Linked DNA regions of Bombyx mori. The main gene of each other region encodes a partner of the protein of the gene in region 2 in a complex. Links are inferred from orthologs where the notes say so. Each region holds a gene or a part of one and is shown on either strand. Other genes may lie near its edges.

Region 1 (4,155 bases), on a different chromosome or scaffold from region 2:
GCACGGTCCTATTTACGGACATTTCGCTAATGGCAGTCACTTTCTTTAATTATCTTACTTATACTATCTACATATTAACCTCACATGAAACCTGAATACAGTATTTTTAAGGCTAATTTTTAATTGAGTGAAATAGAAAAAACTTCATATATCGGTCCTCTTTTGACATTTCGACCTTGTATTTATTACCACTAAAAACAAACCGTTAAAATTAAGTGGCACAAATCCTTTAGTTAAACCTAAACTTTGTAACACCATTTTTAATGATTTGCATAGTAATTGAATACATTTCATATAGCCATTGTTCTTTTTATTTCAAAATGACTTTTCAAATGTAGTTAATGTATAAGGTAGGTAATACAATTGTTTTTATTTAGTTTTTACTCTTTACTTCGACCAAAACTACAATTACTTTGTTTTTAAAAATCAGGCATCCGTTCGCCAAATTTTAAGGACTATTCTCAACTGAATTCAACAACGCATATGTCTAAAAACGAGCACCTTTGCTTTCTGTGTCGCTTATTTATTCCAACGAGATTTTGAAAGTACTTAACTAGAAATTACTTCCCTACGGAGGCAGGGACTGAAGAAGACTGGTCAAATCCAAGCCCAGACCGTTGCATTGTTTTCTCTAAAACTAAACCAACCGAGGATGTACTAGAAACATTAATTTTCTCACTATATGATACAGCAACAATTATCTAAAGAGGCGTGTCACAACCAAAATAAATCTTATCGACCATGTCATAATCTGTAGTTAATGATTGCTCATTTTAATTAGATAAAAGAACGTGACAAGTTCACTTGCTAACAAAGATAAGATATATGGTAAAAATCACTGTACGAAATCACCAAAAGCGATTTATTACAATTTTAAAATATATCTAGAGAAGAAAATAAAGTCTTACTAAGTACATTAAACAAAACAGTCTTGTAAAGTTTCACTTTGTTCAAATTTCACTCACATTCTAAAGATGCCGAATTTGCTTTCTCTAAACGGTGCGTTAAGAGCTGCCGATAAACTTAGGCCTATAATTTTTCTCGTATCTTTCGGAGCTACAATGCCATCATCCCACAGCCTTGCTGTACTGTAGTAAGGAAGACCCTCTTTCTCAAATTGCGCTTCTAATGGACCCCTGACTTTCTTTTCATCTTCATCAGTCCACGGTTTCCCTTCACGCTGAGCCTTTTCTTTGGCGACCAAGGAGAGAACTGTTGCAGCTTGTGGTCCCCCCATCACGGATATTCTTGCGTTGGGCCACATGAAAAGAAAACTCGGCGAATACGCTCGCCCACACATTCCATAGTTCCCAGCACCGAAACTTCCCCCAACAATCACAGTTATTTTCGGTCCTTTGAAACAACTGACCGCAGTTACCATTTTAGCTCCATTTTTAGCAATACCGCCAGCTTCAGCGTCTTTTCCTACCATAAAACCTGTAATGTTTTGCAGGAACACTAAAGGAATCTTCCTAGCAGCGCACAGCTGAATGAAATGGGATCCCTTCAAAGCTGATTCGGACATAAGAACGCCGTTGTTCCCGATTACACCTACTGGGTGTCCATACAATGTGGCGAAGCCGCAGACTAAAGTGTCCCCATAAAGTTGCTTGAATTCATGAAATCTACTTCCGTCAACTATCCGGGATATAACCTCTCTAATGTCGAAAGGTCTCTGAATATTAGCACCTACTATTCCGTGTAAATCCTGAATGTCATGAACAGGCTCCTCAATTTTCGAGGAATAAACTCTAGCTCTTTGGTCATTGTTCCAATTGAGGTTGGCCACGACATTCCTAGCTAAATGTAAAGCATGCTCATCATCTAGAGCATAATGATCCGTTACTCCTGATTGCCGGCAATGTAGGTCAGCTCCACCTAAATCTTCAGCAGAAACTGATTCACCAGTAGCGGCTTTGACTAATGGAGGGCCGGCCAAGAAAATGGTTCCTTGATTTTTTATTATAATACTCTCGTCTGACATACTAGGGATGTACGCTCCTCCCGCAGTGCACGATCCCATGACAACAGATATCTGCGGTATACCCTCAGCTGACATATTAGCTTGATTGTAAAATATTCTTCCGAAGTGTTCGCGGTCCGGAAACACATCAGCCTGATCAGGGAGATGGGCTCCACCAGAATCAACAAGATAAATGCACGGAAGCCGACATTCCTGTGCGATCGACTGGGCGCGTAAGTGCTTCTTCACGGTAATCGGAAAATAAGTTCCCCCTTTAACGGTTGCATCATTAGCGACGATCATGCAATCGCGACCGTGAACTTTGCCGATAGCGGTGACGATACCGGCGCTCGGAACCTGGCCCTTGTACATGTCGGCGGCGGCGAGCGCGCTCAATTCCAATACATCGGAGCCCTCGTCCACTAACCGGTTAATCCTGTCTTTGACAAGCAATTTTCCTCTCGCCGTGTGCCTCTTTACTGCGTCCTCTGGCCCACCTCTGATAGCGTCACCGGTTTTCTGTTGAAGCTCGTCGATCAGTTCATCCATTTTCGCCTTATTCTCTTGAAAGTAAGGATCACTTCGGTTCGGCTCAGTACCGATGACGGTCGCGTGGCTGTGGTGCCGGCATTGTGCGCTCAGTCGGCGTATGCTTCTGACGAGTTTAAACATTTTAATGTATAATTAAATTGAGAATAAAAACACGACCGGTCGTCGGGCCTCTGACGCGCTACTGGCAACAAAGCCGCTGTTAACGTTATCAACACATTTTAATCGTACAAAAACAAATTCCTTGACGACCGCCCCCCGCTCCGATAATAACTTACATTATTACATATGTATGCGTTCTGACTGTATATTAAGACAGCGTAGTTTTACGTAATATTTACAAAGCCCAGCGCCGACGCGTTTCCATTCATTCTGGCGCGTTCGCCTTTTGCATAACGCGCTTAAATAAATGATCCTTAAATTCGTGAAGCGAAATTTTATGTTAGTTTTTGAACAGATATTCGATCATGATGACGTGACCCACTTTTGAGTCGAGTTCACGTGCAGCGTGGTGTGAAATACACACGGACCTTGAACAATAAACGGTCACTTGTTACGACGAATCTACTTGTAGACCAAGACTGATTTTATTTTCAAGTTGAATTTCAAAATAGACATTACCCTTCATCGAATACGATTGGATATTCGTATTTTATCGTTATGCCAATCTTTTATGGACGCTTACTTTTATTTAGTTGTTGGCAAATATGTAAAAGATATACCTTATATTGTATTGCAGAACACAGCGACATTAATATCGTATACTAAGATAGGACGTAATATAGACGTTTTTTTTTATTAATTATTAGCATTTCAACTATGGTTCTATCATGGTTTAGATGCCCAGTATTATGATAACTATTATAGAGTAAAAGAAATCTGGCAAAAACCTTAAGTGGAAGATCATTGATGTTTCCCCAAACCAAAGTGTTAGATATCTTTGTCCGGGCCTAATAAATAAATAATTAATTAAATAAATAATTGAACTATTTTTCTTGAACAATTTTCCTTCTCCGTCTTAAGGTAAATAATATACTCTCCGAGAACTTAACATATTTTACTACCTAAAGCTCAGTAGTCACAAACATGTGCTTAAGGATTCCTTCCACCTCCTCACAATACCTGCAGACTGGATCAGCAGTAAGACCTAGCTTGTGAATTTGAAACTTACAGTATCTTGTATAAAATGAATATCATAAATTACTGTCTCATTATAATCGGCAAATAATCGATGTTGGAGTACAAGCGAAAGTTCGACCTCATGTCTCAAGACTGGTATCATTCACATCCTAAGGCCTTCGAAAATCGTCGTGGGGCATGACCCCAAAATCATTGAACGTCACAAAAAACTCTATATTTAAGATTAAATAATTGAAAACAAAATGTGTATGTTTTAATTTGATTCTTACACAATACTAGTGTCAAATCAATTCGTCGGCATTCCGATGAATATAACAATTTGCATTACGTCTACGGTTGCAAGTATTAAAAATTTCGATGACAATAAATAAGTTGAACAATTTCATAAAACTAGTGATGCCCTGGTGATCGAAATTCGAATATAATATAATTCATTGAAATATAAGTTTGTACACCATTATGATTCTATTGTTAAAGACTTCTATACTTCTATAATCACAGAT
Region 2 (3,513 bases):
AAATGAGTTTTTTTTTTATTGCTTAGATGGGTGGACGAGCTCACAGCCCACCTGGTGTTAAGTGGTAACTGGAGCCCATAGACATCTACAACGTAAATGCGCCACCCACCTTGAGATATAAGTTGTAAGGTCTCAGTATAGTTACAACGGCTGCCCCACCCTTCAAACCGAAACACATTACTGCTTCACGGCAGAAATAGGCAGGGCGGTGGTACCTACCCGCGCGGACTCACAACAGGTCCTACCACCAGTAAACATATTTTGAAGTTATAATAATAATATGTACAATGAAAAAAATTGTCGCAGTTGCATATTGTATTTCATGGAGTCCCTTGACTGATAAAAGATCCAAAATAGGCCTTTTTCGTATGCGTATGCGTTTGGCACAAAAAATAAGTTTCTTTGCGTGATTGGCTAATTGCATCTGCAATAATGAGTTAGTCATATTCGGTAAGACTGTGCTTATGTGCTGTGGTAAAAGTCACTCGTTTTCACTCACAATTTTCTCGGCTAAATTGTCGTTTTTTTAATTAACATTTTAGAGGCCAATTTGGCTTAACCTTCCAAATGACTCCGAAATTTGACATCGCTCGAAATATCGATCCCCAGAATCCCTATACTCGAGGAAAGCTGCAGGGGTAGGTACTACTCCTTGAAATTGCGGCGCTATGACAAAAGGGCCCTTCGCAGTGAACGCGTAAGCCCGTGTCTTCAATGCGTTGAACTGAACTGAATTCAGTTTACCCCACTTGGAGACACGCCCCAGAGAGTTCTCCACTTCAGACACAAGTTTTGATCTCCTCTAGTATTTATGTACAACTTATATGTATGCATATATAATACTCAAAGGCTTCAGCTTATTCACTTCATGACATTCAATAGAATAGACAGAGTGATTTTATTCTCAACCAAAACCTTTGCAGGTATACATTAGTATATCAATTGAATTAATTTAAAGATAAAACAATTTTAATTAAATTAATTACCAGTTATCATTTCCGTGATTGGATGTTCGACTTGAAGACGCGTGTTCATCTCCATGAAGTGGAATTCGTGTGTGACTCTATGAAGGATGAACTCTACTGTGCCGGCTCCTACGTAGCCCACGGCCTTGGCGGCGCGAACTGCGGCTTCACCTAACGCTCTACGAGTCTCTTCAGAAAGCCCAGGCTGGAAGACAGAATATATATTATGATGATAGTTTGTCTTTTTTTATTTATTGCTTAGATGGGTGGACGAGCTCACAGCCCACATGGTATTAAGTGGTTACTGATGCCCATAGACATCTATTACGTGTACGTAATGCGCCACCCACCTTGAGATATAAGTTCTAAGGTCTCCGTATAATTACAACGGCTGCCCCACCCTTCAAACCGAAACGCATTATTGCTTCACGGCAGAAATAGGCAGTGTGGTGGTACCTACCCGTGCGGACTCACAAGAGGTCCTACCATCATTAATTACGCAAATGATAGTTTTGCTGGTTTGATTTTTATTACACGATGTTATTCCTTCACTGTGGAAGTCAATCGTGAACATTTGTTAAGCACGTATTTCATTAGAAAAATCGGTACCCGCCTGAGGGATTCGAACACCAGGTGAATGCACCAGACGTCTTATCCTTTAGGCCACGATGACTTCAGTTAGGTTTGAGATTAAATGAATTTGGAAATTAAAAAAAACACTCACTGCCGGAGCTTCTTCTATGATCTTCTGGTGTCGTCTCTGTACTGAACAATCTCTTTCAAAAAGATGAACAGCATTTCCGTGCATATCTGCGAACACCTGAAATGAGTTTTTTTTTACATTAGCCTCTGATACGAAATAAAAAAATATGGTTTTACAATTTTTTTACAGTTAAAATAATTTATATAATACTTGTATAATGTGTGGTGAACTAACTAGATAATATTGACATTTAAAAAGAAAAATTATTCACCACACCTGAACTTCCACATGCCTTGGATCCGTAATGTATTGTTCGAGCAGCATATTATCATCTCCAAATGATTTAAGCGATTCTCTCTTCGCCGATTCCAATTGCGGAAGGAAATCAGATTCGGTCATTGCGATTCTCATACCCTGAAAACAAATAAAAAAGATTAAGAAAAAAAATTGGGTGGAAGAATCAAAACATTTGGTGTGAGATATTTATTACCATTTGAAATTTTGTATTGAATTTTATAAACACTTATAGACATTTCATGGTTTTTGAACCAGTCATTAATGTATTATTGAAAGGTTACATCCATTTTTTTCTTAATATTTTACATCAAGTAAGCCAACATTAATGTTTTAGATGAAAAACCCAGTGGAATGGTGAAGTCTTCAATATTTTATTTCACCACAGATGGTTCAAAATCAATTCACCATTTCTACTAAAATGATAAAATAAAGATATACGCATTAAAGGTGAATTTAAATAGATTGTACCTTTCCTCCGCCCCCCCGGACAGCCTTGATCATAAGCGGGAAACCAATTCTTTGGGCTTCAGCTTTCAGTCTCTCAATGTTCTGATCTTCACCATGGTATCCTCTAACAATGGGTACACCGGCTGCTGACATAATAGCTTTTGACGTACTAAAAAAATAAAGAATCACAAATTAGTTAAGAACAATATACAAATTTTTAAATTAAGTAAATTCTTGTTTTACTTTATAAAACAATTTTTATAATATATACATTTTTAATTACAGGGAAGCCTAAATACTAATGGTGTATTTTTGTAAAATTCTTTATTATACAGATACAGGGTAAACAGTACTGTGGTTTCAGATTTCAGTAATTTACATGTAAGTGTCAACTTGGCTCCACATTGACTGATGTAAGTTTTTCACATTACATATTTCGTTTGAGCTGCTCGTAGATATAACAACTGTCTTTTAAATTTTGTGAACAATCATTATACATAGTCAGGTCATAAATTCTGTCACATGTTTAAGGTAAAATAATTGAAACAAGTTTATTCATTATGTAACCATTCATATACCAAAATGAACTTAACAAAACAGATTCTTATGACACTAACGTTTATTCAAAATGACCTCCGTGATTTTGAATACAGGACTTCAATCTGCGCGGCCAGTCGTCTATCGCAGCACGAACGAGGTCCATGTCAATATCGGCGGCTGCCTTAATCAAGGATGTCTTCAGTGACTCCAAATTGGGATGAGGCTTTGAGCACGCCTTTTTCTCCAAGTGTTGCCATATCTTGTAATCTAACGGATTCAAATCTGGACTGGAGGAGGGCCAGTCTTCGTGCCGGATGAAGTCGATTTCACGCCCCGCCAGCCAGTCTTGTGTGCTCTTCGCTCTATGAACTGGCGCCGAATCTTGTTGGAATACCCAGTGCCTGTTATTGAACATGGTATGAGAAACAGGTACCACAAGGTTCGTCAGGACTGTATTTTGATACACAACTGCATTCGTTTTTACACCTTTCTCACAAAAATGTACCTCTATTAAGCCCCAATAAGAAACTCCCAACCATACCATGAGCGAGGATGGAAAAT

The links. Proteins that work in one complex are often made in the same cells at the same time.
Region 1: the proteins of methylcrotonoyl-CoA carboxylase subunit alpha, mitochondrial (region 2) and probable methylcrotonoyl-CoA carboxylase beta chain, mitochondrial are in contact, whole or in part, in a cryo-EM structure (PDB 8JXM), measured with the Homo sapiens proteins. The link is inferred for Bombyx mori from reciprocal best matches to the Homo sapiens genes MCCC1 and MCCC2. Residues at the interface, in NP_064551.3 of Homo sapiens: Glu519, Phe526, His531, Asp532, Phe534, Ser535, Pro536, Phe537, Ser538, Ser539, Ser540, Ser541, Gly542, Arg543, Arg544, Leu545, Asn546, Ile547, Tyr549, Thr550, Arg551, Tyr568, Tyr636, Leu637, Ser641, Glu644; in NP_071415.1 of Homo sapiens: Leu56, His57, Val60, Glu61, Lys64, Asp88, Ile91, Pro93, Gly94, Ser95, Pro96, Phe97, Leu98, Glu99, Gln102, Ile123, Gly124, Arg125, Gly128, Glu130, Arg234, Trp276, Leu278, His281, His282, His285, Lys298, Lys299, Leu300, Ile304.

Annotation. Positions count from the first base shown.
Region 1 is NC_085125.1:11,581,383-11,585,537, reverse strand, and holds the start of probable methylcrotonoyl-CoA carboxylase beta chain, mitochondrial, read right to left. Parts: upstream 2,813-4,155; 5' UTR 2,636-2,812; coding exon 962-2,635; 3' UTR 1-961. UniProt on the Homo sapiens protein: Carboxyltransferase subunit of the 3-methylcrotonyl-CoA carboxylase, an enzyme that catalyzes the conversion of 3-methylcrotonyl-CoA to 3-methylglutaconyl-CoA, a critical step for leucine and isovaleric acid catabolism.
Region 2 is NC_085121.1:10,538,788-10,542,300, reverse strand, and holds part of methylcrotonoyl-CoA carboxylase subunit alpha, mitochondrial, read right to left. Parts: intron 2,582-3,513; coding exon 2,434-2,581; intron 2,083-2,433; coding exon 1,945-2,082; intron 1,786-1,944; coding exon 1,690-1,785; intron 1,171-1,689; coding exon 987-1,170; intron 1-986.